Arabidopsis thaliana: one gene and its partner. The gene in region 2 interacts genetically with the main gene of each other region. Each region holds a gene or a part of one and is shown on either strand. Other genes may lie near its edges.

What was found.
Region 1: of AT2G32280 (region 2) and OPS, changing one enhances a phenotype caused by changing the other (phenotypic enhancement), as found in Arabidopsis thaliana (one study listed by BioGRID).

Annotation. Positions count from the first base shown.
Region 1 is NC_003074.8:2,764,515-2,780,598, forward strand, and holds OPS (LOW protein: UPF0503-like protein, putative (DUF740)), read right to left. Parts: upstream 6,862-16,084; 5' UTR 6,424-6,861; coding exon 4,366-6,423; 3' UTR 4,127-4,365; downstream 1-4,126. Other genes in the region: AT3G09050 (8-amino-7-oxononanoate synthase), read left to right, coding at 346-693, 965-1,393; AT3G09055 (uncharacterized protein), read right to left, coding at 555-665; AT3G09060 (Pentatricopeptide repeat (PPR) superfamily protein), read right to left, coding at 1,853-3,916; AT3G09080 (Transducin/WD40 repeat-like superfamily protein), read right to left, coding at 11,745-12,044, 12,251-12,454, 12,542-12,725, 12,833-13,008, 13,153-13,482, 13,701-13,862, 13,940-14,026, 14,150-14,285 and 7 more. UniProt on the Arabidopsis thaliana protein: Potentiates primary root protophloem differentiation. Required, together with VCC, for embryo provasculature development and cotyledon vascular complexity and connectivity. Regulates roots architecture.
Region 2 is NC_003071.7:13,705,316-13,720,497, reverse strand, and holds AT2G32280 (GPI inositol-deacylase C, putative (DUF1218)), read right to left. Parts: upstream 7,533-15,182; 5' UTR 7,289-7,532; coding exon 7,190-7,288; intron 6,993-7,189; coding exon 6,787-6,992; intron 6,708-6,786; coding exon 6,521-6,707; 3' UTR 6,493-6,520; exon of another isoform or gene 5,999-6,492; intron 5,983-5,998; exon of another isoform or gene 5,856-5,982; coding exon of another isoform or gene 5,652-5,855; 3' UTR 5,559-5,651; coding exon of another isoform or gene 5,325-5,558; 3' UTR 5,290-5,324; downstream 1-5,289. Other genes in the region: AT2G32295 (EXS (ERD1/XPR1/SYG1) family protein), read right to left, coding at 1-82, 148-264, 344-436, 546-584, 705-787, 890-971; BAM6 (beta-amylase 6), read left to right, coding at 3,592-3,771, 3,857-4,330, 4,412-4,576, 4,674-4,940, 5,034-5,243, 5,325-5,558, 5,652-5,855; AT2G32275 (uncharacterized protein), read right to left, coding at 10,531-10,809; ZIP3 (zinc transporter 3 precursor), read right to left, coding at 13,886-14,191, 14,494-14,643. UniProt on the Arabidopsis thaliana protein: Required, together with OPS, for embryo provasculature development and cotyledon vascular complexity and connectivity.

The DNA of each region.
Region 1 (16,084 bases), on a different chromosome or scaffold from region 2:
CGTATGTAGTGTGAATTAGAGGTTCTCTGGTCATTTACAACACATAATTAGAGGTTCGATGAAGAAATTATTCTGTGTAAGTGTGAATTTAAATATAGCAAACCTATAAGCTCAAAACTTTGAATATGGCCAATTTATAAAGAAATTTATGTGTGGAAGTATGACTTTAATGTAATTAAGAAATATTAGAGCCAATCTATAATAATGTCTCAAATATAGGGTCTTTTATGCAAATACTTTAAAACTCAAAACTGGTTTTGGATAATGCGTAAACTAAATTAAAAAACGAGAGGTGGGTTACTCTGAAACGAGCCTTCTTCTTCTTCGTTGAAGAAAACATAGAAGATGATGAACACACTTCATGCATTTCAGACAACCTTAACACCAAACTTTCATGTTCTTTTCAATGCCTCGAGACATTCTCTTTCCCGACCCCAATTTCTCTGTCTCTCCAAATCGGGAGACGGAACTTCAGATTCTGATTCTGATCCCGACCCTCCAAAACCCGAAGGCGATACTCGCAGGCAAGAACTCTTAGCTAGGATCGCCATGATTCAGACATCGAAGGTCCGTTTGACGGATTTCTTGGACGAGAGATCAGAGTATCTCACCAAGTTTGCTGAAGAAGCCAATGCGGAGTTTGACAAGGTTGGAGAAGACGCCATGAAAGACCTTGACGAAGCTAGCACAAGGGTATGTATCAGTTGAAAACGATAACATTTTGAAATCTCGTATCATATGGAAATAGTCTTAACCTGTGCACAATACAGTTTTAGAACAGTAGAATGTCTTGTTTCAATGGCTTACCTTAATTCTCTGATGCAGTTTGATCCTTATGAATTGTCTTTACTCTCTAGATCAAGTGAACTCAGAAGCTTTCAGATATTGTGATTTGCTCGATGATATTGCAGGAACAGAACGATAGATAAGCTGATATTGTTTTTCTTTCCGGGTGATTGAGCAGATACTGGAGAATATCGAAAGCAAGATGCAAGCTTTTGAGGAATCTGCGGGATTGAACAGATTAGAGATCGAGGAGAACGATAATAAGTTGGCTGAGTTTGAGGAGAAGATTCAAGTAGACAGGAATGAAGGATTGTTCTTTAAAAGCTTACGTGACAAAAAACCAGTGGATAGAGAGCAAGCTAGAGAGGAAACTGAGAAAATACAAGAGGTTACCAAAGAAAGTGCAGGATCAAAGTCAAGAAGGAATATTTACCTCGGGTTAATTGGGATTGTGGTTCTCGCAATTGCTGATTCCTTCGTTTCTTCACCGGATTGGAGAAAAGTCGCAATTCTTGGAGCTATCCTTGTCCCACTGCTCACTCAATTCGTATACGAGCAGACATTATTATCAGAAGCAGATAAGGGAAAGGAAAACAAGAAGGAATGAACGATAGAAGCCGACAAACTCTGTATTAATCGAAAGAGATGAATATAACTTGATGGCATAGACCCAAAGTGTGAAACTTATCACTTTAGGTTTGATGCGTCAAGCTACAGCTTTTCTTTTGCATCATCAAATATCAGATCTCGATGATGTTTACTCGAATCATTCAAACTAATGTGTATCACCCAAATGCTTTTGATGTATGTATGTATGTATAATACTAGTTCATCAGATGATATAGCTAACTTGATTCTTATCGACTTACTGCAGTTTACCTCCTGTCACTTCCAAGCACCGAGACATACAATTCAACCTCCAAAACAAAGATTCAGGGTCAGAGCATTGTACCTTATCACGCAAAGCTAGCTGAGCTGGCCCAGAGATCATCCAGGGTCAAACTGAACCCTAGAGAGTTATACAGCAATATGCAACAGATTAAGGTTTCCTTTAATATTCATCACATTAGCGATTCACGACAGCTCGAACAAGTATGTTCCAGGTGTAAACAGTTGGAAAAATGCCATGGTTTCTAGCATCATCAAAGAATTCCATAGCATACGACACTCCGCGGCACATACACAACCCTTTCATTATAGTATTGTAGGATATAATATCAGGTTGCAACCCCATCTTGTACATGTAACCCCAAATCACTGTGGCTCTGTTGCTATCTCCAACTTTGAAGAATCCTTCCATCAAGGTGTTGTAGGTTACAAGATTTGCAGTGCAATTCCGATGCTCCATATTTGCCATGACAGTCATTGCATCATCAAGTTTCCCAACAGAGCACAGACCATGAATTAGTATGTTATGCATCATCACATCGGTTTCGAGTCCCGATTGAAGAAATTGGTGCCACAATTCAAGGGCCAAATCGATCTTCCTGTCGCGGCAAAGACCACATAAGAGTATACTATAAGTTTTCAGATCTGGTTTCCATCCGTTTTCAAGCATTTCTTTCACAAAAGCAGATGCTTCACCAAATTTCCCTGCTTTACACAAACCGCAAATAAGAATGTTGTAGGATACAACAGTCGGGCGACAACCGTTCTTCCCCATCTCTCTCAGAAAAAAGGAAGCCTCACCAAGTCTTGAGTCTCGGATTAAACCACCTATTAATGCATTACAGACATGAGAATTTAGCTCCACGCCATGCTTACTCATCTCTTTTACCAAATTTGACGCTTCTTCTAATCTTTTCTTTTTGCACAAACAGTCTATAATTGACGCATATGCATAAACATCCAGATGCCCACCACTGCTCTCCACCTCTTGCATCACCCCCAAGGCTTTATTCACATAACCATTCACACATAACCCGTGAATAAAAATACCGTAAGTAGTTTTGTCAGCTGCATAGCCCTTGGCAGGCATAAGCCTCCAAATCATTGTTGCTTCATCGATCTTCCCATTCTCCAACAACCCTTTAATCAAAATGTTATAACTCACTATGTTAACTGAATTCTTGTGCTCCATGATTCTCCACAACTCCAAACTCTCCTTAATTTTCCCACAACGGCAAAACCCACCAAGCATAGTATTGTATGTAACCACATCAATCGAGGCTTTCCTTTCGTCCAACTCATTAAACACACTTTCAGCCTTATCAACATTACCTGCATCGCACAGCCCATGTATCAAACTGCTATATGTATATAAATCTTTTTCACGCTCATTTTGTTTCATTCTCTCCCATATCTTTAAACAATCATCTACTCTTCCGCATTTGCTCAAACCACTAATCATGATGTTGTGAGTCTTAACATTCGGATAAACAGAAGAGTCCTCCAACAGTCTGTCCCACAGTTCCATAGCCGTCTTGTGATCTTTTTCCTTAAGAAACCCATCAATTAAGATATTATAACACGTGACATCAGGTGCCACTCCTCTTTCAGACATTTCATCGAACAGTTCCAGTGCATCATCCAATTTCCCAGCTTTAGCAAGATCGTTGATCACAGTGCTGTAACTAAACACATCAGGCTTAAACCCCTCTTTCCACATCCAATCTAGAAACCCTCTCGCTTTCTCGAACTCCTTCTTCTTACAAGACATTTTAATCAAAACATTATACGTCTGCAGATTTGGCGCCACTCCAGCAGTCTCGAAGTAGGCGAACAAGGACTCGACTTTAACCCATTGTTTCGCCTCCACGAACGCATTAAGTAGAGTGTTATAAGATCGAATCGCAGGCTCGCACCCGAAAATCTCTCGCATTCGTTTGAAAACATCTAGAGCTTGATCAGGCATGGAGTTCTTTCCGTAGGTTTTGATAACCGATAAAGCGACATCTTCGTCGCATTTACATTCTTGTGACCTAATAAGCTCGACGATTCGACTTACATGATTAACCATCCGCGTCTCCGAGAGACGTCGGAGGATATGGTGGTAAACGACGGCGGAGTGTGCATAGCCTGGATGGCGAGTCGCCGAATCGAATAGAGCAAAAGCCGCACGCGGGTTCTTCTCCGATTTCAAGAGCTTAAGGACGTGTTTGGGTGACAGCGACTTTGGGAACACGACCATGTGAGAGTTTTTGGTGAACGTTATTTCTCCGGCATGTTTTGGGCTTTTTGCCTTTAATTAGAAGTGAAGTAATAAACTCTTTGTTGATTATAGTTAGTCAACAATCTCTTTCGATTTTAAAATTTTAATTTAGGTTAACTAACAAAATTATCAGACTATTCAATTTATTTGTTCCAATGAAAATTAACTAATCAAAATTTGGTTAATCATTGGAAAAAATTTAGGTGTTGATTGGGAAGCCTGGAACCAAAAATATAGCTGGTCGAATGGCGGTTTATTCCGGTTAAAATAGACAACGACAACAAGTGATTCGTTTGAGAATGCATCCCCTCCTTAACATTACAAAGTAAACCAATTGAACCGAAATTAAACCTAAACCAACGAAATACTAAAAACAAAGGTTCAGCTTCATAGAGCTAATTAAACCATCCAATGAACAATTTTGTTGATCAATACAGCCTCATTACACTCCTCGCTATAGAATGCCCGTGACTATTCGCCCACCCTCCGCCGCCGCCACCTCCTGCTCCTCCTGTACCGCTCATTCTCCGACTAGCTTTCATATGTGGCAAGTAAAACTTCAACATTCCGTTTTCCCCATTCTTAGGTGAGTACCTTGAACTCTTATTCCTCCTATCCAATCCGTTGACTTTCCTCGCTGATCCACCTCCGGAACTCCTCCAGCTCACATTGCTATTACTCCTCACCATCCTCGGCCCTCCTCCTCCTCCTCCTCCATTCCTCAGCTCCGGCCATGACTCCGATAACGATCTCTCCACCATTCCACCGTTTAATCTCCTATACCTATCCTCTTCCTCCTCCTCCTCTTCCTCATACTTGTTAACACTCTTCCTGTAAATAAGTCCTAAAATGCTCCACTTCCCCCACCGTCTCGACTTCTTGTTATTATCGTTACTATTCACTTTCCTATCGCCGATCATCATCGCCGGTTCCCGGAAAGATCCGTTATCTGCCGTCTCCACGGCGTAGTTGTTGTTATCTCTCAGTGATCCTGAGTAAGCGTCAATTGATATAGCCGACGACACTGAAAGCTTTGGCTCGTCCATATCCGCCACAACGGCTGCAGCCGTTTTCCTCATGGAGCTACTAGACCTGTCGAGACTTTTCCGCCTCCTTGACGATGAGTCAGTATAGTAGTCTCGGGTTTGGATTGATCCGCCGGGTATGATAACCGGGTCTGACACACCGTTGGTTTGGTTAACCACCGGTGGTGGTGGCGCCGGTTCTTCCACCGGAAACTGCATATCCGCTCGGGTTACGTGACGGTGCACCGGCGGCGGCGCATCCTCCACCACCGAGAGCATTGACGGCGGCGGAGGAGCTCTCGCGGCGGGAGGAAACATTGTCCGTCCAATCAAAGACCCGTCCCAAGAAGCTCTCGGCTCGTCAAACGAATAACGAGGATCATCAAGCGAGATCCTACCGATGTCAACGGAGAATCTACCGGCGTCAAGAGAGAATCTTCCGGCGTCTAGAGAGAATCGAGGGTCGGTATCGCACGACCTCCGACCATATCCGTAATCAGCAATCTCCGATTGAGTATCCCGGAGCTGTCTCCCAATCGGTTTCTCCACCGGTAATCTAGCTGATCCTGGCCGATGGTCGCCGCCGTTACGCCGCTTCTTCATCTTTTGATTCTGCCTCCATTTCTGAAGCTTCTTGCTGAAAACAGAGGCCGCCGACCAAAAACTCCGTCGTACCGATGGCTTCTTGGTTTGAGAATCAAGATCTATGTAATCCTTTATTGGCTTTAACTCCTCTTCGCTTAAACCCTTTGTTGGTTTCACCGCTTCTTCAATCTCCTCTCTAACTTCAACAATCTCGTCGCTTTTTTCCCTCATTAGTTCGCCGGAATCATTGAGAATCTCAAAGTCGCCAGCTTCAACGTAGTCTTCCTCCTCCTCCTCTTCAAGTTCTTCGTCGTCACTTTCAGCTTCTCCTTCATCGTTTACCTCTAGAACAGGCTCCGCAACGCTTGATTTCCTCGGCTCGACATCAATCTCACCGCCGGTGACATTGCTTGGAAGGTTTCGTTGCTCATCTTGGCTAAACAAGTTCCAAAGAGAGCTTCGAAGCCTGACGTCACAAGACCTACGTTGTGGCTCAAACACGCCGGAGAATCCTTCGTTGTTCTTGGATGCTGAGAAAGATTTCGTACGACGGAGCTCCGGGAAGAATCCGGGTTTAACCCGGCCGTTTCCGTTTGTATTTACACCGCCCACTCCGTTGTTTCCGGAAGGCTTAAAGAGAGCCTTGAGAGCCGCAGCAGAGATGGTCGGAGGCTTTTTAGAGGAAGAAGAGGAACCGCCATTGTTGGTCTGATCTAAGACTGAGAGACGTTCACAGAGACAAGAAGGGCAAAAACCGGTGAACCGCTCTTCTGGGTGACGGTTGCAAGAGGTAGAGAGACGGTGAGGCTGCGGAGGTTGTGGAGGCGGAGCAAGAGCAGCTGCGGCGGCGGAGACTGGGTCAGTAGCTGGATTCATGACGGGAAATGGTGGTTAATCCTCCCTCTGGTCTCATATACTATATCGTCATCACTGTCTGGTCTCTGGCTTATAGAGAGAAAGACAACACTTAAGGTTAGAGAGAGAGATTGGGTAGTGTTGTCTCTGAAACTTCGTCTTGTTCCAACGGTAATTGAAAGAGAAAGGAGATGAACAAGAAAAAAACAAAACAAAAGAATTATTATAGAAAAACCAAATTAGTGTTTTCAAATAAACAAAAGTTTTAGGATATGGTTTTAGCGTGTTAATGTACGGTTATCTAGAAATTTTGTTCAGATTTATTCATATGATATAAGCCAAATCTTATTTTTATGTACTATATCTAACATAAAACATATTAAACCTTTGTCCACTTCAATATTTTGCTTTTTATTTTCTTTGTCAGTTACATTTTTTTTTTGTTAACATGCAAATTAATTGGAGAAATATGATATGTCTAAATTGACCTTATGTTCTGTCGATTTTTGTCTCATGTAATGCTAATATAAACCCGTTACTTGTTGGGTCGGTGGCAAAGTGGATTTTTTTCCCTGCTTTGTCAAAAGCAATTTTAACTAAAAAATCAAAATTTTCACACTACTTTTGACAAAATTTTCAAAAAGCAACAACACATGCTTCATTTTAATCTAAAACAATAACTCTATCGTGATTCAACGATAAGTATGGGGTGCGTGTGTTATTTAGTACATGATGATTTTGTTGATCTAATAAAGTCCGTTTAAAGTTACAAACAAATTATTTCAACGATATTAATTGATTAGTTAATACTAGTAGTATTTTGATAGTGCTGCATCTTGTGCATTTCTTACAGTGCTACCGTAATAATCATGTCAATTATCGCATCAATCATAGCAACAGGCGTCAACTATGGAATTTACCCGCTTTAACCACAGTAACAACTAAGAATTTACTAGTATTTGTTTTTAATTTAAAGAAATTTTAAAAAGAGATACTTTGGAATTAAAAAGATTCGGACCCAAAAAAAAAAGGAAAAGCAAATCACGCCATCACACTCCTAATTTCTTGTCTCTATGACACTCTCTCCTTTCGCTTTCTCTCTTCTTTCCTTTTTCTTTTTCTCTCTTTTGTTTTTCTGTGTTATATATTCATACATTTCTCCAAACTAATCTTCTCGATATTCTAACATTAAGACGAAAAACAGAGGTTTAAAATTAAGACGAATAATTCATAACAAAAATCAAGTACTTTCAAAATTCATTTTTAAAGTTATACTGTTTGCAAGAAGAAGAGAGGTTATAGTCAAGAAAAAACACGAGAAAACATTGATCAAGTTTTCGTTATCAAAGACTGTATTATTTGTATGCTTTCTTTTTTTGTTGTGATATGCATTCTATATAACTTTAACTTTAGTTTTATTCCTTTATCTGATCAAATTTGTCTTGGCTTTTCTTTTCTTTCTGTTTTCCCCACAGAATAATATTCAATTTAGATATTCAAATATATATATTTGCTATTAATATGATTTAGGAACTATAGTACGTACGGGTCTCCGAATGTCTCTAGCATGGGAAACAAATATTGTCCTTCACCTAAACGCCGCTCGTTTGGTGAATCATTTTGTTCTTTCGTATAAACTACAACATACTGTACTAACATTCTAGTAACCATCGTAAGATATAATTTACTATCGTATTTTAATTAAGGTAATATTAGAGGATGACCAAATTTGACAGCATTATTAATAAAATAGCCTTCGTGCAGAAAAGTTGGGTAAATAACATTTTTTTATCCTTCGAAATAACTATTTTACCCTTTATAAATGAGATAAACTCTTTCTTTCCGACAATAGCTGCTACATGTAGGAAACAAAAGATAATACGAAATAATGATTACACCGCTACTTCTTAAAAAATCATGCAATATTAGACCACTACTTATTAAAATCACACGCAATATCTCTTATACCTTAAAAATGTATACGTAAAAGAAAACTTAGTTAAAAGATAGCCATTTAGAAACAGTTGTGATTGAGTATAGAAATATTGCATAAGATATTTAAGGACATGCTATTTATTTTTATTACATTAAAATGTAGGTTTATTGTTTTGACAATATGGTAAATGGGTTTCAACAGAGATAAGCAAACCACATATGTGTTATTTATAGATTACATGTGATTGTACAAATTTGCATGTGATTATAAAAAAAAACATAAATCATGAATCACTAACTTACTTGTGATTTTAGTAAAAAAACATAGATTATTTGTAAAATGCACATTATCTTTAAAAAAATATTATCTTATCAAAAAATATAAACGTTTTAGGAAAATATACATATCAAATAGAAAAATAGAAAAATAGCATGAAGTATTCAAAAATTACATGCTATCGTTTGAATTGAGACATACGGATCATTGTAATTTTAGTAAAGAACAAGTATTATTTAAAAGAAACTTTGAAAAATACAATGTTTTAGAATAAAAATACATGTCAACAAAAGTAAACGGCGGTGGTGATGAATACGGAAGAGGCGGTGGTGTTATGGATATGGTGGTGAATACGGAGGCGGTAGTGTTTACAGATCTAATAATACTAAATACGGAGGAGGCGGTGGTGTTACGGATCTAGTGGTGGTTATTGTTGTAAGGGAAGAGGAGGTTATGAAAGCTTTAGTGGTAAAACTATTTGCCTATAAAGCTATTTGTCCCCCTCAACCAAAATCCTATTATAGAAATATTAGAGTAATTTAAAGTTGGTTTCCGACAAGTACTATACGCCTATGGTTAGTTTATATAATATTATGGATTTTATGGTCATCTAGTGCATATACCCTTTTAATTATTCGATTACATTCTTCACTTCTTCCTTTTTTTTTTTTTTTTTTTTTTAAGTAATCTTGAGCAGATTGATATATAGAAAGGATGTGTATTCGTGTGTATATATATATTATCGGACGTGTGGGTAAGAATCTCCCAAGTAAACTAACTCGTTCCCACGTAAGTATAATTCATCATTGGTTCATTATCTATTTATTGTACAGTATGTGTGTATTTCTATGTCTTTTTGTATTAAAGGTAACTTTCGTAGTTAATTCGTAAGCATGTCGTTTTTTTTTTAGTGGTCAAATTGTAAGTATATCTTCTTCTTCTTTTTTTGCGTTTAAATAATTTTTTGGTCGTGTGTGCGTGACGGACTGACGCTCATTGTCATTGTTGCCTCGTATCCCACCTTAAACCTCACGCAATCAATGCCATTAATATAGGTGTCTTTATTAATAATAATGGTGATTTATTAGTAATTCACTTTCACTTTAACGTTTTTTATTTTTATTGCCAAAAAAATTATTCTCTACTATATTTTAGTAAAATACTGAATTTAGAGATATAAACAATAGAGAACATAAATGCTTGTAATTCTGTTTAACGGAGTCAAATTTCTAACAAAGCCAATTTAATTGCAACGCATAATAAGTTAAAGCCGGTTTTATGAACATTGGACAGTAAACCGGTTAGTAATAATACTGCAATCTTTTTTAAAAAAACATAATAATTATTTCACCGCTATATATTATAATATATTATCTTTGGACTGTGTAATTTAATCATGAATTTTAAAAGATCATGATTGTAAATTTCCTCCATTATGTGGTATCAATAAAATGAAGGAAAACATGAAAGAACATTTTGGTGCTAATAATATTATTAGTATGGTAAAAGGTTTCCAAAGTGTTAAACAAAAGTATAACAAATTATAAAAGTATTTTAACAAAGTATAACAAATATTTTGATATTATTCCATTAGTCTATAATTTGTATTATAGTGTTTTATTTGATTTATGAAACACATTGGATTAAAGGTAAAGAAAAAAAGAGAGAGGTATAATCATTACAAGAGAAATTATGAGTTGGAAAAGGACAATCAAATATGAACCTTTTTGGCCCACAACATTCGACAACTCATAGAAATCAAAGGCTTTTCGTTTTTCCCAATTTATCAAGAAGAAAAAACAACCCAACTAATAATTTTTCTCTTTCTTTTTCTTATTTTTAAAATCGGAAAAGATTTATTATTTTACATAAAAAGCCTCTATTTTGGACCCAACATGCTTCTGTATCTCATTCTATTCACATTTATGAAAGTCTCTTTAGTTCCTTTCTTACTCAGATACTCTAACTAATAAGTGTCCATGTATATCTTTGTTATGTACACATCCGTATAAATGGTTGTGCCATTGTATTAAACATGTGATATATTAATAGAGTGTATCATATGGTACGGTCAGGATTAAAACAAATATGTTACACAATGCTATTTCATATGAATTTTATTTATTTATAATTATATGGTAATGTAAATATTGTAAGACAACTTTGTATGAGATTAGGTGAACTAATGACAGATGGAAGAGATGAAAAAGAGACATAAGAAGAGGAGGAAGCTAAACATCTACTTTGAGATTTGTTGTTAGAATTTAAAATTTTATAAGAATGAGGAATCCCAATAAAGGAGGGAGCTGTTTTTTTTTTAGCATGTTACTAAAGCAAGACAAAAAAGCACTCAAAACAGGACAAATTTCTAGGATTTGCTTTATTACTAATTTTCTTTTGTGAAATAGTAGAGATTTCTTAGATGATTAGTTTTTACTTGGCATAAATGTAGAGTTACCGATTTGCATATTTAGTAAAAAATGACTTTAGATTCAAACGATTTTACTACTTGATCATTTTTTAAAACCATTAACTAACTTTATACACATGAATATTTGCTTATGTTTCCTTTTGAGAGTGGATCACAAGCATATATTTTGAACAAAAAGAAAAGAATATCATCGTATATATGTTTTCTTTTGCACACCATTATCGTATATTTTATGTAACTTGTAGATAAATAACTATCACAAAACAAGTCCAAAAAAAAAAAAAAAAGTCTATTACCTAACCCAAAAAAAAAGTCTATTCTTGCCATGAAAATCAGCAGCTAGTAGTAGTTACTAGTTAGTTCTCAAAGGAAGAGACATACGAAAAGGCATAGTTGAAACACTACGGACATATCTTTAACACTACTTTGGTGGATCCGTTTTTTTTTGTAGATGACAGATTCGATCTTGAAAATTACAAGATCAAACAAGTTTAATAATACTATAAAGAAATTACTTTAAGAGTTCCCTATAAGTAACTTTATCAGAAAAAAATGGTTGGTGCAATAAAAATATAAACACAAACCAGTCAATGTAAGACAAATCAGGAAGAGCAACAAAACAATTCATTATTATTGAATTTGTAAGGTGAAGTAACTGATAACTGTACAGAGTTTATTTGTATAATCTTTCTACTTGAACTAATTGGACAACATTCTATCACTAGTTCTATTTTTGTGCTCAAGCATTATCTTGGCAACAATTTCGCTAACTTTATGAGACACATCTGGAATCATTAAAGCTGCTTCATCAAACAACTGAGCTCTAAGTTCACCTGAGATTTGATCCCGAGGAGAAGCTGTAGATAATTCCGATATTGACTGGACGAAAACCGCAGCAGCAGTGTTTAAACCGTGTAACGCTTGACGGCAAGAAGTTATCCTTTCTTGAAGTGACTCGTCTGCAAGTGTATCGTGGAATACTTCTGAAGACGTCTTGTCCTGTGACATAGCAAAACCAATGATGAAACCTGTTTATTTAGTTACATATATACGAACATAATGTTGGCACTTAGCACCATTTCTGGAGATTTTATGCATCTATGAGTGATTTTAAGCCTAGTAATATGTAAGTGTGTCTGTATAATAAATCTGTGCTGTGTAATGTATAAGTGAGTAGATATATACAAAATATGACGTGGTGAAACCTGCTCAGGATGTTCTTCTGAACTATGTGAAGATTGATCATTCACCGTATCAAGAGGGATATGTTCTTGGATCGACCTCAAAGTCTTGTACCCTGATTTTTGGGAGGGTGTACGCGTAAATTGTTTAGTTCCGCCAATGTAGTCTCTTCTTAGGACAAACTGAGACGAATATCTTCTTTGCTGCGATGATTTTTCGGCCTCGACCTATGGTTAAAGTAAACATATTTGGCCATCAAGATTTCTATTGGCAACCTAAAACATGTCGAAGCAAATAGGGAAGAGAGATCTTACATTGTCTATTATTGACAAACTGTTATCAAACTGTTTGAACATGTCCCCCTGCCCGGCAGAATGTTTGGTGCAGAAATTTTCAGGTTTCTGTTGTTTAATGAAAGATGCTTGGATGTTTGGAGTATTTAGAAGATCCAAACACACGTTGTAGATAGTGTTCCAACGGGTTTTTTCTTTCCTATTGCTGTTGAGAAGCAAAATAAAAACAATCAATGTGGTTCTCATAAAAGCAGGCAGAGAGATAGAGAGAAGAATTGCAGTAATGACCAGAAACAAGCTAGAGCTTCTTACCTAGGATCATCTCCTTGAAGCCCTGAAGTTTCAGTATCGTTGGAGCTTTTGGACAGGCTTCCAAGGCATGCATTTTCGGTTCTTGAACCTTGCTTGGGAGTTTGGTATTCAAGATTCACAGAAGAGCATTCTTCAGCATTGTCAATAGTATTTGCCATACTTTTATCTTCATGTTTCTGTTGTGGAGGCAATAAAGATGCCCAATATCAGAAGAACTAAAAGCCTTAGCTGAAATTTTGGGTCTCACAAAGCATTTCATAAAGATACACTCTATCCTGATTCCTAAAATCAGAAAGCAGGCAACTTTTTTGGGGTTGTACCTGGTTTGAAATGGAATCTTGACAATTGGTAGCAATATCAGATGTTTCCACTTTAGCTTGAGCCCATTTAGGAAGCCGAGAAACGCTGAACTTAAATGAGGATGTCCATGGGGAGCGTTGCTGCATCTGATCTGCGTTCTCCTCTACTGGCTTATAGTTTGCAGAACATGATGCATCATTTGGATTGTCTTCCTCCAAATCAACCGCAATTTGCTTGAACTTTTCCAGTTGGGCCACAGTTAACCTGCCATTTTCATTTACTGCCCGTATAATACGAGTAGCCATTCGCAAAGGAAGTTTCCAGACAAAAATACAGCCGTCACTTGCAACCTGACAATAAACACCAAAGAAAAGTTAAAAGCAAAGTTTTATCTCACTTTTTCGTTTTCATTTGAGGCATACAAGAAAGATAGATCCAGGCTTTTGAGCAGAGAAAGCTCTTTTACGGTGATTCAATTCAATAAGAATGAGACATTGATCTTGAAATCATCCAAAAGTCATGGTTCTTACAGTTGTAAGTAACAGAAAACTACAATTCAGAAACTTACTGATATGATATGTTTGCAATCAGGTAGGAAAATAACACCAGTCACAGCTTCACCATGTCCTGTGGCCTGAGCAACCAGCTCTCCGGTGACAAAGTCCACAAAGCAAATTGTCCTGTTAGAGTAGGAGCATACCAAGTAGTTGCAGCTTGGGTCCAAAATGACCTGTGGAAGAGATCATATTGTCAGCACTAGAACATCAAACAATGTTGAAGTCTAACCAAACAGTTTGTTCAATGCACCTTTACGGGATCTCCATGGTCTCGGTCTTGCTTGAATGATCTGACAAGCTTTCCACTTTCTATGTCAAATATGTTTATCTTCTTATCCTGGGATCATGAGATAAAGCATCAGACTTCTTGTTTAATCTGATGGTAGGTGTACGATTAATTGACTCAATATGCTCGAGATAAGGTGGTAATATATTAATGTTCACCGAAAGGTAACAATACCTGTCCCACTGTGACAACAAGTCCTGATGTTGGATCTACAGCCACATCATAGATCGTTCCATGAGAGAGAGTTTGAGTATGAGAAGGTGAAAGACGCACACTACTTGCTTTTCTGTTAACGTCAAACATCTGCAACCTGCGACAATATCAACAATTATGTCATAAATTTCTCCAAAGTAAATTTGCAAGTTTCGAGGTCTTGCAGCATATAAAACATTACCTATCTGCACCAGAAGTTAACATTTTCCGGCCATTGCATGCGAATTTAACAGAAGTTACAGCAGCTGAACCACAAACACTCCCAACGGGATCAAAGTTCCTGACAATGAGAAAATATAAGTTTGTATGGCCTTGCCATGGAAATCAAAAGACCATAACAGAGGTTTTGTTTTTACACCTTTTGACATCATAAATGTGAATTGCGCGGCCCTTTCCACCAGAAGCAAGCAAGCTTGAGGCATTTTCAGAATCAACGTTTGTCAGTACAGGAAAGCTAAAGCTCAATGACTGAATTTCTGCTTCATGAGCATCCTGCAAGATGGTTATCAATAAGAGGCTTATGAATTGGATGTCTGGACACCACCCAGTGAAGACATAGAGCCAATTTAAAACACTGGTGGCTAGTATTACCATAAAGCATGTATATTCTGATTCTTGCAGATCATATATATGAAGGTTCCCTCCACAGTCACCAGCTGCTAAGTACTTTCCATCTTCACTTACAGCCAGTGCCCGAAACCCAAATTTGCTACCACATGTCTCAACGAGATCACGTTCAAAAATGCCAGCGCTAGCTGCATTTTTAAAATATTGAGTGGACGAGTTGAAAACAAACAATGAACATAAGTATCTAGAATAGAAAAATACTACAACATTTTATAATTACCTAAATGCATAATCCCCTGTGTTGAAGATTCTGAGGGATTGCTGCTTGCATTGGCTTCTAACGGATTCACTTGGAAAGCAAGATCCCACAACCTGATGGTTCCATCTTCAGAACATGTAGTGAAGGAAACCCCTTCACTGCATCCCCTGGCTACACATGCAGCTGTTGGACTGTGCATATTTCCACAAGAGAGGTTTTTGATATCCCAAATTCCGGCAGAGTGTGATATCATCATGGAGCACCTAGTAGGCTGGAATAAGGAAGAAAAGTTTCACCATATGCAGTTGATGCTCTAAGCTTCAACAGAACACTTCAGAGAAAGAATTCAGAATCAACTAATTTTATGTGGAAAATACTGAAGTACGTTTACAGTTACCTTGTTCACATCATCCACATCCCAAACATAGAGACTACGATTCCCATAGATGACAACTGTGAAGCCAAAATACCACCTTTTGTCAAAAGGAAGATAGCTAAGCAATGTACTGCTATTTTAAGGTTCTTCTACACTCACCGAGCTTATCTGTGGTAGAAAACTGACAAGCAACTGCGTCCGGGAAGATACCAGGCGAAGATTCTATATTTTTGGGTTCTGGTGATTGAGACAGATTTTCAGTGTTGCTGCTTTTAGCATCTGAAAACTGGATTGTGCCAGCATAATCTAAAGTTTCAGGCGTAAATAGCTGGACCATTCCCTTGCTGCAAGCGCAGGCTATCAATCGACTGGATGCAGATAGAGCAAAACATTTTTGAACCTGACATTTCATTGCAAGCCATTCGAAGAAGCTCTTGTTAGATGAAAAATAAGCTCGGCTGGGGAAGCTTTGTATCTGAATGTTCCCCAAGCTAACATGAAAAATTACTGATGTCTGTGGACCTAGAGTCAACGCATACAAGTTAACAAAACTTATTGCCTACGCTCACAAGGAAAATACAATGCTTCTGGACTATGGGAAAATGATTGTTATGCATGTCTCAATGATGGGGTGATCCAGTTATGGTTCTTAGTTTAGCAAAGAAAAAGATTGAAATGAAGTTATTGTACCTTC
Region 2 (15,182 bases):
CCAACTTTACATCTCCGTGCGAGTATAGATACAGATAGGCAGTCATGCTAGTCAATATAATTATTGTCATCCACCTGGCACACTGTGACATCGGTTACATAGATGTAATCAAAATATATACAAATGATCTAACTAAGAGTTGTTTACCTTCCATATCTCTCTGTGACTAAGATGATCTGATCCTAGATAAAAGATTGCTGCATAATCTACTCCAGACCGAGAAAAAACCCACAAATTAACACCCCAGAGCCAGACCATCAGCGTCTGAACAAAATAGCATACATGAGGAAACACACTTGAAGCAATTTGACTTTACTAATTTGAGAGCAGAAAAGTAACTTACAATGAGAAGGAGAGGGTTATAATACAGAAATGTCTCATAAAAGAACAGTTCTCTTGTCTCTACGCCCATTTTCATTACAGATTCCAATCCAACCTGCAAATTTTAAACATTGTTGTATATTACCAAGACTGAAAACTCAAACAATGGCTTCAAATCAAAATCTAAGATCATTGTTTGCAAGAATAAGAGTTCAAATTTTAACCTTTCCACAAACATAAAGACCACCAATATACAGAGCAACCTGGAGAATCAAGATAGCGAATCTCAAATCAGCTAGTTAGATGATATAAAGCAGGAAGAAAAATTTGATAGTATGGAACAATCAGCGAGAATCTAAGAACTTTGAGTAAATGAACAAAACCTTGAGACTTCGAAGGAATATAGGAGTTTGCAATTTCGCATAAGTACTCAGAAGCATACTTGCAGTCTTCAAGTCATTATCTCCTGTCCAACACCACAAACCATCCAGAAAAAATGTAATCAAAATCACTAAGCAGAAACTGATTTTTCTAGTAGCCAAGATTTATTATAAAAACAAAAACTAACCGAGATTAGTGACGATGTGTCTACTTCCAGATTTGCGCAAGTGAGGATTATTGACAGGCATAGACAAGACACCCCCAAACATAGATGCCAAAGACAAAAACTTTCTCTGTCTCTAGTTTTGTTCTGAAACCAATCGCAAAACAACTGACATAGCTTAAAACCTAACTCTTACGAAATTCAACTAAAACTAGTGTCTAATAACCAACCACGAAAGTGAAAGACTTTACAACGAAGAAAGACAAATGAGTACCTTCCAAAACAGGAAACTTTCTTCACCAATAGCTTGCTGCTACTCTGAAGAAGGCGTCAACACTGCTCAACATGAACAATCGCATCGAGATGATGTTAAACCCAATTGATACCAAAGAAAATAAAAATAAAGTAAACCCATCAAAAGATTCAATCTGAATCACAAAAAAAAAAGTCGATGGCTTTATTGAAGCGGCTGAGAAAGATTCAATTAAAACCCTCTTTTGTATTTTAGCGAAAAACTCGCATTAACAAAAAAAAAAAACGTCTTCAATTTTTTCCCTAAACGTCAAAGTGTACATTGCATTGAGTTTCCTCCTATGAACAATTCACGAGATGAGTATTTACGTTGTAAGAAGAATTAAGGAAGACTTGGAAGGCAAAACCCAGAAAAGGAACAATCAATAAAAGTCTTAATGGAGAGAAACGATTTTAGATGAAAAGAGAAACGTTGTGATGATTAGATTAATAGCAAAGACAATAATCAATGAAAGCGAGACAGAGGGATAAACAAATCGAAAGAGTTTTTTTTTTTTTTTTTTGGTTAAGAAAACAAATGTTTTTGTTTTGGTCAACGGCTTATGCAAGTTAATTGACTTTAACAATTCTTTTGTCTTATCAAAGCAAATCTCTTAAATCTTAATATAGTACTAGATTTTGTTCATGTAAAGTTGAAAAATCATCCAAAAATGGAAGACAATTACATAAGATTTCGTATTTGACAATAGTAGAACATTATTAATTTATTATAATCATTTTCACTTAATTTGTTTACGTTTGTTAATTTGATAAAAAGCTAAAATATTTCACATATAAAGTAAGAAAGGTACAAAAGAAAAATAGTTTGAATTCGGTTTTTCCTAATAGGTTCATGATGAATATTTTATTGTCTAGATTTATCGAGTTGTTCGTAGTTTTGATAATAAACTTCTTGTGCGTCGGGGTTAGGCCGAGTTGATTTTTCTAAAAAGAAAGACATGTTTAAAAAAAAAAACTAAAATTCTTAAGTGAAGTACCATTTGAAAATTTCTACGTGAAGGGAAAAAAAAGATAAGTTAATGCAAACACCATGACGTTAAGAAAAAAAAGTCAATGCCAACACCATTTTGTTTTGGTCGACGGATTAGATAATGCATATTGTGCAGACGTATTACTTCTTTGTTGTTACGGTACCAATGACTCGATAGTGGTCAACCAGATTGGTGAAAAAGCCCGACCGAACATAAACGAGACTGATTTTGTCCTACATGGGCTTCCTCTCAGCCCTTCACGTCATTCGGTTTCTCTACTTGAGATCAACTTTTTCTAAAAATAAGTTGAAATCGTGGAAGAGCAGAGCCGAAGCCGCAAAGCCCTAGGATTTATCATTGGAGGATCGTCTTGCATGCCTATGCAATATGCGACCAAGGACCTCACTTAATGGTGGAGAAATAGGCGACGACATGGGAAAGCTCCACACACAGTTTCTTGGATCATCGAGTGGATTAACAAACAAATCCGAAACCGTTTTCCACAATCCGACTTCTAGGCGATAAACGCTATGATAACGGATTACAAGTTTGGTTTGAAACAAGGATCTAAGTGTAAAAGTTTCTAATTTTCTGCTAAAATTTTCTACTATTCGATGCACTAGTTGTACAAACGCTATGTTTTTCTTTAAATATAATTTAATATTATTTTCAAAAAAAAAAAAAATTTATAGCGAGATGTTATCAAAGCTATGGGCTTCCATACTTGGCCATCCCTATTTTACCGTGATGTTCTTGACCAGATCTTTGGCTCGCCCACAGCTCTTGTTTGCCTGCAAAAACAACGATGAAGTATTTTTCTTCTCCTCACCTCAGCCTCATAATCCGGATGAGAAGTCGTCTCATGTAGCCGCCACTAGTCACATGAAAATTCCGTATGACTTTGTATTTGAAAGATTCAGTCCTATCAGAGGTCTGGTCTTTCTTAGAAATCATAAGATATCTTAAATGGAAAGAAGCAGAAGTTGTCGGTGATATGTAATCAGAGGTCTGGTCTTTCTTAGAAATCAGAGGATCTTATATCGACCACTGTCCATGGAATTGATTATTTATCAAGGCACGATGAGTTGTCTCAGGAGCATACATTTTTCATTAGTAACTGGAGAACCTTCATGGACACTGATCGAATGTTGCATACCCCACTATCCTAGTATCACATAGATATTTATTGGTTATATGATAATTCATTCTTCTATTTTCCGTGAAACTACAAAACAAGGAATAAAAACGTGACTAAACAAAAATACAAAAAAAAAAAAAAAAAAATTGGGCAAGAAAATTATGGCCACGTTTTGTTGATAGCATACGAACGCGCCAGAAAATTAGCAAATTTAATTAATTTCACTGAAAAAATTATTTTTGTGTGTGTATGATCATAATGATTCCAGTAAATGATTTTTGTAGTTCCGTCAAGTGCAAGGTACCATGACAAGCGTATTAGGAATGATGAACCCTAATCTGATCAACGGAAGAAATCTCCACAAAGGATCTTCAATTTTTGTACAAGATAAAGAAACTAAAAAACGAGTCCAATGGAGATTATCAATCAAGGAGGGATCTCTAAGAACGCATCAAGCCACTGCTTCTTCTGCAACAGAACCAAAGGTTAGTAGTAACAACAATCTTTGAGCTTTTTTTTCTGTTAACTCTCTGGTTTTGTGTTTTTGAATCATTAATCTTGAAAACACAGGCGACAGAGTTCAATACGACGACGTATGAAGACAAAATGTTGACCAACTATGTTCCTGTCTACGTCATGCTTCAGCTTGGAGTCATCACGAACGATAACGTTCTTGAAAACGAAGAGAGTCTCAAGAAACAGCTCAAGAAACTGAAACAAAGTCAAGTAGATGGAGTGATGGTTGACGTATGGTGGGGAATCGTTGAATCAAAAGGTCCAAAGCAATATCAATGGAGTGCTTATAGAAACTTGTTTGCGATCGTACAAAGCTTTGGACTAAAGTTACAAGCTATAATGTCGTTTCATAGATGTGGAGGCAACATAGGAGACGATGTCAACATCCCGATACCGAAATGGGTACTCGAAATCGGGGATTCGAATCCGGATATCTTCTATACGAACAAGAGTGGTAATAGAAACAAAGAGTGTTTGTCTCTCTCTGTAGATAACTTGTCTCTCTTCAGAGGACGAACAGCTGTTGAGGTATGAAAAACTCTTGATCTTAGAACGTAACTCGGAAAAAATTGCGTTTATATATTGATATAATCGTTGCTCTGTTTCTAGATGTATAGAGACTACATGAAGAGCTTTAGAGAGAACATGGAAGATTTCATAAGCTCTGGAGTTATAATAGACATTGAAGTAGGGCTTGGTCCTGCTGGAGAGCTTAGATATCCTTCTTACAGTGAGACTCAAGGATGGGTTTTTCCAGGAATTGGGGAATTTCAAGTAAGAAAAAGGAAATAAGACTCTTAATTTCTTAGGCTTTGAAAAAACAAAAAACAGAGCTTTTTAAGTTTATTTTGTATGACTTTTTCAATCCCAGTGTTATGACAAGTATCTAAGATCAGACTATGAAGAAGAAGTTAGAAGAATCGGGCATCCAGAGTGGAAACTTCCGGAAAACGCAGGCGAATACAACAGTGTTCCAGGAGAAACAGAGTTTTTCGAGTACTCGAATGGGACTTACCTTAAGGAAGAAGGAAATTTCTTCTTGTCATGGTACTCCAAAAAGTTACTTCTCCATGGTGATCAGATTCTTGATGAAGCTAATAAAGTATTTCTCGGGTGTAAACTCAAGATAGCAGCAAAAGTAAATCAAATATTTGTAGGATTTTCCTTTGGGATGAATTCTAAACATGATTAAGATTTATAGTTTTCTTAATTTGTTTTCTCAAATTTTTAGGTCTCTGGAATCCATTGGTGGTACAAAACTGAAAGTCATGCTGCAGAACTTACGGCGGGTTATTACAATCTCAAAAACAGAGATGGTTATCGTGCGATTGCGAAAATAATGCGTAGACATCACGCTATCTTGAATTTCACTTGTCTAGAGATGAAAAACACAGAGCAACCAGCAAAAGCTAAGAGTGGACCTCAAGAACTTGTTCAACAAGTAAGCAAGTTGAATCTGTAAATACCACACTTTTGTATATTCGTTACTTGAATTGATTTTGGTAATGGTTAAAATTTGAAGGTTTTGAGCTCTGGATGGAGAGAAGGGATTGAAGTTGCGGGCGAAAACGCGCTTCCAAGATTCGATAGAAATGGATATAACCAGATCATACTAAACGCAAGGCCTAATGGAGTTAACCAAGATGGTAAACCGAGGATGTTTGGGTTCACATATCTCAGACTGTCTGATAAACTTCTCAATGAACCAAATTTCTCAACGTTTAAAATGTTCTTGAAACGAATGCATGCGAACCAAGTAAGCAATCAAAAAGAGCCCTCTTCGAGATGTGTATTTGCTCCAAGATCATTTAACATTTTTCTGAAGTTGTGTGTGCTTTTCATGATTCAGGAGTATTGTTCAGAGCCTGAAAGGTATAATCACGAGCTGCTTCCGTTGGAAAGATCGAGAAACGATGAATCCTTGGAGATGTTTATGGAAGAAACAGAACCATTTGATCCATTTCCATGGCTGGACGAGACAGACATGAGTATTAGACCCTTTGAGAGTGTACTGTCTCTATTGCGAAGCACATTTTTGAGAAAGAAGTCCTAGAGAATATGCTAAGGGGAAATTCTATAAACGTATAAGATTTCTGAAGTAAATATGTAAAGATTTGAGATAAATATATAAAAGTAAATAATTCATCCTAATGATATAAATTTGAACCATTAGTTTTCTGATTACAGGATATGACAACTGTAGACATTTTGAAGTTAAACAACAGAAAAATCAGTTTTCATACAAACTCCTTTTTGGTCGGATTTCAGACCAGATCTTCTTCTGGTAGTAAAAAATGTTTGTGCAATTCTCTACTTCATAGTGCCATTTGATACTCTCTTCTATAAAAATTATTCTATTTTCCTAGAAATCAGTTCTACAGATTTCAAGTTTCCCGTGACAAGGATTCACATAGGTGTGTGTGTGAAAAAGAGAGAACGAGAGACAATTGAATTAATTTAAAGACCCGAAGCAAAGACAAGATTCCACCGAATGTCATTATCACTAGTGCATTTTAACCCCACATGCGACAACAGAGCGTGACATAAAAGCTTTTCCATATTTTTCAAAATGACACAGCTTTCAAAATTACAAAAGTGACTTCGAAATAAGTGAAACGATTCATAAGAAGAAATAAATTGAAACTAGGTTATATGATTATACATAAATATAGTCAAGAACAAGGACCTACCTGTTCCATCATTAACCGTGACACTTTGTCACTTAGCTTCATCTTTGGCCGCAGTGGCAGAAACGTAATAAGCAACACAGAAGAGGGCATGAAGAAAACACAAAATCCCTCCAATGGAGAGAAAATGGTGATGTGTGAATCCACAAGAGGATCTTGACTTACTGTTCGACATCGTCCCAATCACTATACTCCCAAATCCAACAGCGAATACGATCCTGTGATTACACCAGCCAATCATGTCATTTTACTTGGACCAACAATTATTAATGCCAAGAAGATTTTGTATTAACGTACCAAGTGAGGACAAGACAAGCCATGGAGATTTGTCTAGTGGAAGAAGATCTTTGAAACTCGTCTTGAGAGCAAATACAAAGACAGCCTCCGACCAAGTTAAGTAGGACATGAGCCATTACCAATATCGCGGCTGCACCTAGACCGAGCCTGAACGCGTCCTGGCTCGGCTCTCTGCACTCAAATAACCAAAGCCTCATGTGCTTCACCTACAATAGAGGAAATCGATGGTTTCATTTGTTAAAAAAAAATCTATTAATTCAGGTTCCTAATGTTTTTTTTTTTTTTTTTGAGAAAATTTCTAAGTTTGAGACAGTATGTATGTTATGCAACCATCATTACCAATTTTAGCATCATAAATTAGGGAAACAACATTTATTAATTTGAAAGAGAACATTTATTTTACCTGATTTTGGGCGACTTCAGCTTGGATTCCGAGGATTGCAGCAGCTACATCTAAGCCCACAATGACTAGACAAACAAGAATACCTCCTATCTTTGTCATTTTCAAATCTCTTAACTTAGTAGGATTTAGTTTTGTTGGAGATACTTTAAGAAGATACAATTTTGGAAAATGTGAATAAAGAACAGGAGAAGCTTCTTTATGAGGGCCGGGGAAGAATATTAGTTGAAGAGAGAATGAGAATGGGTAGTGGAAAGTCTTAACGAGTAATGATCTTTTATGACAAAATGGGTTGGTGGTATATATATAATAAAGTCGTAAGTAAAGTTGTGAGGGTGTGGAAGAAAAAGAGAGAGAAAGAGATAGAAGAACAACAAATATAGACAATGAGAGAAAAAGATATTTCTCCTGTTGGATATTTGTATCTTTTAGATTTTTTAGCTTACCTTTTAGTTGAATGTAGGAAATGAGACCTATAACGTTATATCATTAACTAGATTGCAATATATAATTACACTGGATAATTGATCGAATCAGATCAATTATAACCCCTTTTTTTTTTTGGTGAGGCTCAATTATAACCTTTTTGATTGATATTTAAAACATCCAAGTTAACATGAAAATTAGAAAGACATTAGTGTCTCTTATGAAATATCTCTTAATATATGCTAAATTTAAAATTATGAAGCTTTTTTGTTTGTCGACAATTTTTTTTAATTATGAATCAAAATGATAAATAATTGTATTGCCCTTAAAAATTAAATAATTGTATTGATATTTTTATTTACTCTTTAGTAGATATATAATTTATTTATCTAAAATTACTATTCACAAAAAAATAATCCTTTTACTTCTAAATTATCATGATAGTTTATACTTTATCTACTTTTGTAATGAATTCATTTTAGTAACTTATTCACAAAATTTCTTACTTTATAATATTCTAGATAAAAAGTCGAACAAAAATGTTTACCGAAAGCAAATCTCCGATTTGGATTAGTATTGTTGATTTTAGTGAAAAGACATAAAGCTATATTTTCGTTTATATTTAATACGATTGTTTGCTACATAGGTAATGTGCTTTAGCAAAGACATAAAGCTATTACAATTTGATGTTGATGTAGATAGAAATTCTAGTAGAAACTCCGAACAAATATAGGATTAGGTAAAACAATTGAAATGATTATCATGGGAATATAATCAATTTTTTAAAAAAAAAGGATAGAAGAAACATGGAATATGATTAGCTGGGATATGTCAAAAATAAAAAAGATTAGCTGTGGGATATGCATGTGGGTACTTTGGCCCAATAAAGCTTCTTTTTGTCCATATGGTCATGGAATGGCGAATTCGCTTTAAATAAAAATTATCGATTTGTTAATTAACATTTCTTCAAGTGAATAATTTATAGTTGCTTTTTATATATTTATTTGGTTTGGTTAAACATGGTTGGATTCTTTGTGTTGGGGGGGAAGAAAAGTAGGGCATAATACAACCCAACCAAGCATGGCCAATATCTTCACTTCTCTGTTAAAGAATCAAATTTATGTTCCTTAATTCCACAGTAATTATGTAGAGAATATATTATTTATAACAACATCATTTGACAATATGGGAAAATTTTAGTTCTAACCCATAGTCGGAACTCGCAAAATCTCCGAACTAAAACAGTTCATATAAAGCGGTTGGCGTCTCGTTCACTAAACATCATTTTGTCATGTGAACATCATCGTGGTTTTATCCAAACAATAATGCAATAATCCAAATTTGTTTTTGAAAAAAATGAATATTCTAATTTCTAATTGTTAAGTTGTGCTTCGAATCACGCGGTTTAGTAATGGTTGTGTGACATTAAACCGAATTTGTATTTTTTTTGTTTAAATATTAAACCGAAGAAAAAATGTTAAACCGAAGACTAACTGAACCGGAATTGGCTGAAAATTAGGGTTTTACTGATTAATAGAGATAAGGTTTTTTATGAGCCGTGTTCATGTTGTTATCTTGTACGATAGATTTTTTGGCCATGATTCGTGAACCTCCGGATTTATGGAGCTCTCCATGATCTTGTGAAGTTAAGTTTATGAATTGTTCAATCCCGCTCTCGCCGAGATGTAGGATCAATATCACACCGATTGATCTTAACTAATAACTTCTTGTGTTCATCTACTTCTCTTATCTATCTTCTCCATCATTAATCTATATATGTTCTTGAGCATGAGTTGTTAGATCTTTGTTCTGGTTGTTTACGATTGTATTTGGTGTAGTTTATGCTTCGATTTAGGTTCCAGATTGATGCAAGAATCGAAGAATGCTATCATATTCATAGCCCCATGTTACAATTTTAATGGTGGTGGATACTACTATGGATGGGAGTGGATCATTTTGATGGAAAGGTGATTTGTAACTATGGATGAATGAATGGATGCTAAAGACACAATCCATGTCTAAACAAAGGTAGAATCTGGTGAAACACATAAATTGACTTAAGACTCCTTAAAGGTTAGTTTGTGATATAGGAAGACTTAAAACTTGATAATCTTTATTGTTTGTGATTACATATTGCGGGAGAACATTAATTGCAACCTCGATGTGGTCTACTTTAACAAGATTGTATAGGTAAAGATCGTATCTATATGCAACTCAAATTCTATATATACGTTTGAGATGGAAAAATCAAAGTTGTATAATTGATGTGAACATTGATGATTTATTCTGAAATTGGTAGAACATCTTAGCAATCTTGGTGTAGCTATATCCAAAGAGGTTCAAGCTATCCTCTCAAAATCTCATTGCCTCACAAGTTTGATCAACTTAATGAAACACTTTAGGTACGGTAGGTACTCTATATCAGCTTCGATGAAGTCATTGTTGCAGCAAGCTCTAAGAAGAGGAGAGTTGTGTGATTGTAGTAGGTCTCATAAGATTCAAGTTGATTAAACATGAGTGAAGGTCAGATAAAAGGGATGATGATTTTTATATCATGAACTAGGTCAAGAACAAAGACTAAAATCACAATGTTGTTTTTTGGAAGAAAGAAAGACATCTTAAAGAGATCTAAATTTATTACAAATGGTTTTGTCGCTGTAACACTGTCCTCGATACGATTACAACACCATTCTAATTTGCTTTGTTAAAGAGAAGAAAACTAGAGACTTCAATATGTAAAGAGGACCAAGAGTGAATCCTGGCGATACTCTCTATCTGTCACTTAAAGATTCCGACCTAACAACCAAAACACAAATCATTAATATACTATTATGATGAACAAAGTATATATGACAAAAGAATGAAATAGATTTCAATAATAGTTCAAGATAGAGAAAAAGCATTTTGCTACCATGAAATCATCGGAATCTCTTCAGTAATTTGTTTAACCACCAAGCATGTGAGACTCTCGAGTTTTGGTGGTCACTCTCGGTTTCGTCACCTTCCAATATCGGAGGTAAAGACGGACTCCACCGTGTAGGCGCTGCTGAGTCACCTGAGTCAGTTGAGACACCTGAGTCAACTGAGACATCTGAGCGAACTGAGTCACCTGAGACACTTGAGTCATGGCCTAGCGATGGCTCGTCAATCACAGCGGAGGTGGAACGGCAACATCGACGGAATAGAGAAAAAATCATTTGAAACTCGACTACTTAAAATGTGATTATTAGTTCGACAGTGTAGAGATTTGGGTTTTTCTTTTCCTTTTTTTGTGTGTGTATATATACACACTTTAATATATATAAAAGGTAATTACTCTCTTTTTTTGTGGGGTCATATATCGGGTGTTAGTTGTAAAAAATTATATCTTTTATAGTAGTAAATCTAATAATAATATTACCTATTTAAAATTTAATATCACATTAATATTGTATTTTGTAATTAACTTAAAATGTCAAAAAATGATTAATTTTACAATTAATAATAGCTGTAATTGTAAAAAAGGTTATGAGAATAACAGGGAAACAATAGAGAACATGTGAGTCAAGATTCGTGAATGGGAATTTGTTGATATCAAAATTTTAAATTGGAAGTTTTAATTTGGAATGTAGTATTTTCTTTATTATATATGCATGATACAGGTTGTACTTATGTGGTGGAGGGAACTTAGTATATGTTAACCAAAATTTTATTCAAAAATAAATAAATATATAAAGATAAGAGATTAAAACTAACCAAATTAAATAAAATAGATATAGCGATATGTATCTCCCACCTACATTATCTATTTTCGTACGTACATGTATCAATTAAAAAAAAAAAAAAAAAATCTAATCTTCTAATATTGTGACATATGATGCACGTATATGTTGAATTCGAACATATATAACCATGATAAATTACTATAGTATATATATATTGTATATATGGAGAACATTGTTTTTCATTAAGGACGACAATTTTCGGTTCGTATACTTTGCCACGCTATAAAAAGTTCTTTTTCACTTTGCCAAATAACGAAAAATATATTCAAAAGTGGTCAAAACACGTCACTATTTCCTTTATGTTTTCCCCTTATTGATGGAAATGGTTAAACATGAAGGTAGTGAATTTGTTCGAATAATATGTTGATATATTTTGATCAGGGGCGGTTCTTCAGTAGTGTAAGTGGAGCAAATGCGTATGGCCAAAAAAATATTTTAACTAAATTTGAGGACCAAAATTTAAATATTGTTTTAATGTTAAAAGTACTTTTTTAAATCCACTAAAAAATTAGTATGAGCCGCTACTGTTTTTGATGGTTTTGTTTTGTCATCGACTCATCTGTAATAAGATTACAAAAAAGAAGGTTTCGAAATATAGAAGACACAAAAAGCAACGGTCTTTTCCGTACCGATTTGTTTTTAGGGTATATTTTTTGAACACGCATAGAGGATACCAAGATATTGTTGTGTCGAATCTAAAACAGATAAACCAACAAGTACTCATGGTTTATGTAAAACCCACTTCAAGAATTATTGTTTAGTTTGCACTTTGCTGTCACTAAACTTTTTAACTTCAAACACGCTCAACAACATGAAAATGGATAATCGCATATCCAATTCCTTTTTTTACGATTTGAAAGAAAATTTAGAAAAATAATAATTTACATCATATGCAATTTTCTTTCGCAATGCATATATAAGGGAAGAAAATTATACAGTTCGACACATAACCGGACAAGGAGACAACCCCGGCGAGGCTCTTAAATTCGTTGACATTGCAATGTTCCTGTTAGACAAATTCAACAAAATATATTTAGTAAATCCAGCAAAGACAATGTCTATAATTTTAATAGAAAGACATCTAACATATGTATTATTTTTTCTAACCAGCTAATATGAAATTTATGAAAATAATAAAAAGATAGACGGAAACCATCTAATATATACGTGAGGACTAACCAGGCTCTCTTGATTTTGTAGCTGAATAAAACCAACTTTTTGGTCTTTGATTTCCCACGTACGACTGAGACCTTGGCCGTTGAGCGATCACTCTCCCCGACGTCCTCCGAGATGGGATATAAAGACGGTTGCCAACGTGTGGAATCCTCACTCGTGCGTCGTCCTGACTGAGGAGCCAGCAATCGCTGATCAATCGTCGATGATTCCTCTCGATCCACAGCATTGGAACGATAACAATGACTAAATATAGAGAAAATCATTTCAAACTTGAGAAAAATGATTAGAACAAAAATCTAAATAGTTTACTTGAATTTTGGGTTCAGCGACAGAAGGATTTAGGGTTTATTATATACTGAAGTTTTTATAACTGAAACAAAAACAAGTTATGAGGATCCATTTAACAGTTTCTGCACATTTATTTACTTTCTGGTATAGTTTTATTTTAGGTTTATTTAATGCTTTTTTTATTAAGTTATGTTAAATGAGCCTTTCAAAACTGTTTGTGTTAATGAATCTGTTGGATCTTTTTCAAACGAAATTTTACTTTCTACACACTGATACGGTTTATCTATTATTAATAAGTTAAACTCTTGTATGTTTTTAGTTATTACTTTTAAAGTTGGACAACTTACAAAAGTCGTGTTTCAAAAACATAACATTAATGAAAATTGATGCCATATTGCCATATGTTTATAAATAAGATTCCTTTATAAATTAACGTCAATGAACAACTAGATATGAATGCTCAGAGGAGTATGAGATTTTGTGTACTTGGGGATGTTGTCTTTGTCGAAGCCAGTAAAGATCCAATTATATATACACAGTAAATTTTAAAATAATGAAAACAATGAAAAGATGTATGAGTTTAATGACTTCTTGTACAATATACATGTGATCCACATTGGAAAATTAGAAAATAGTTTTATAATATATAAGCCCAATATAACTCTTCGTGTTAGTATGATATTATCTGCTTAGCAAAGCGATATTAACTTCTTAATATAGAAAAATGAATTTATTTGCCCTAAACAATAATTTTTTTATGTGTAATCTTTTTCTAAGATAAAGATAATATATAACACAAAATACATACATAATAGATTATCACAAATCACGCAAGCAAGCAACAAATCAAGGCTCGTTACTTTCCTTGGACACTGATCAATATACACAATTGTAATAATGTTAAACATGAGTACATGAAGTGTTTCAGAAAATAGAGATCTCAAAAATATCATTGAAAAGGGGGAAAATAAGAACAAATAATTCGAATTCAAGGTGGCCATAAAAGGCCATGAGCAAAAACTAGAAGAGTTGAATTAAAGAGCTATCAAGCCCATTTAGCCAATAGAGACATGAGGCCAGCACCAAGAAGGAGAGCAATATGGGCCATAATTTGAAGCCCAGTATTGGATTGCATTTTAGGGTGCGTGAAATCTGCTGCGAGAAGGTCAACCAAAGACATGTAGATGAGAATGCCTGCGGATGCAGCGTTCAAAACTCCTTGAACGATCAGAGCCGTTGGTGAAGACTCATCGTAAGAATTTGCTATTCCCATTCCCACAACGATTCCTATCGGTGTCGTTATTGCGAAGAACGTCGACATGATTGTTACTGACAAACACTTGAATTTTCCCTGCAACAAAAAAATATTTTCAGTATTTTGTAGACCAACATTTCAATTTATTATTATCGATGTCATCAGTTTTTAATGTGGGTTTTTTTAATAATACAAAATGTACATTTTTTATAGATTTTGCTTGCTATTTGACAAGTTATTTTACATACCTATACCATCAACGATTTTTTTTTCTTTCAAAAGGAATCAATTTAGGAACCAGTTAAAGTTGAAAACTATGCAATACTGAGTTTAATTATATCGGAAATAGAGCTTTCATTAAAGGAGTAAATAATGAATATAGAGAAGAGGAAATATACCTGAGCAATACAACCACCAAGGCCTAGACCTTCGAAGCATTGATGAAACATTAAGGCAATAAACAGAGCTTTTGCAGCATCTGGGCTCTGTGAAGCTCCTAGTGATATTCCTATTACCACTGAGTGTACTATTATTCCCAACTCCAATACCTATTTTTAGAGTTTATAATATATAAACACAAGAATATCAGTCATGAGGTAATTTCAAATGTTACATTACACTTTTTGTTCTTTTTTTTTATATTAGATTTCGGACAAAAGAAAATTACGCCATGTGTTCGATTGCATTCCAAATAATGGACTTAGTCTTTTTTAATCTTATATTTAAAATATGATTTGTTAAAAGCTAATCATATGAAAAGTTTTAATTTGGAATTTCGGTACTTATAAATAACATGTGACGGTTTCTAAAGAATCAAATCTCACATTCACATGTCCGAATCTAATTCACCGCGTCGACAAGAAAATAAAATCTGGCAAATGCATGAATTTGTAGTAGGGTTTTTCTTTCTCTAGAGAAAATATAATATAATTAAAGTCAAAAACTACATATGCATGCACATAAAATTTATTTAATTTGTGTATGGATCTGATTTTTCATTTTTCGCATTTTTATTTTAACGTTAAAAATAGAATTAAATAGAAATAACATATTCATTCACAAATTAAAGAAATGTTGTGCATGCAAC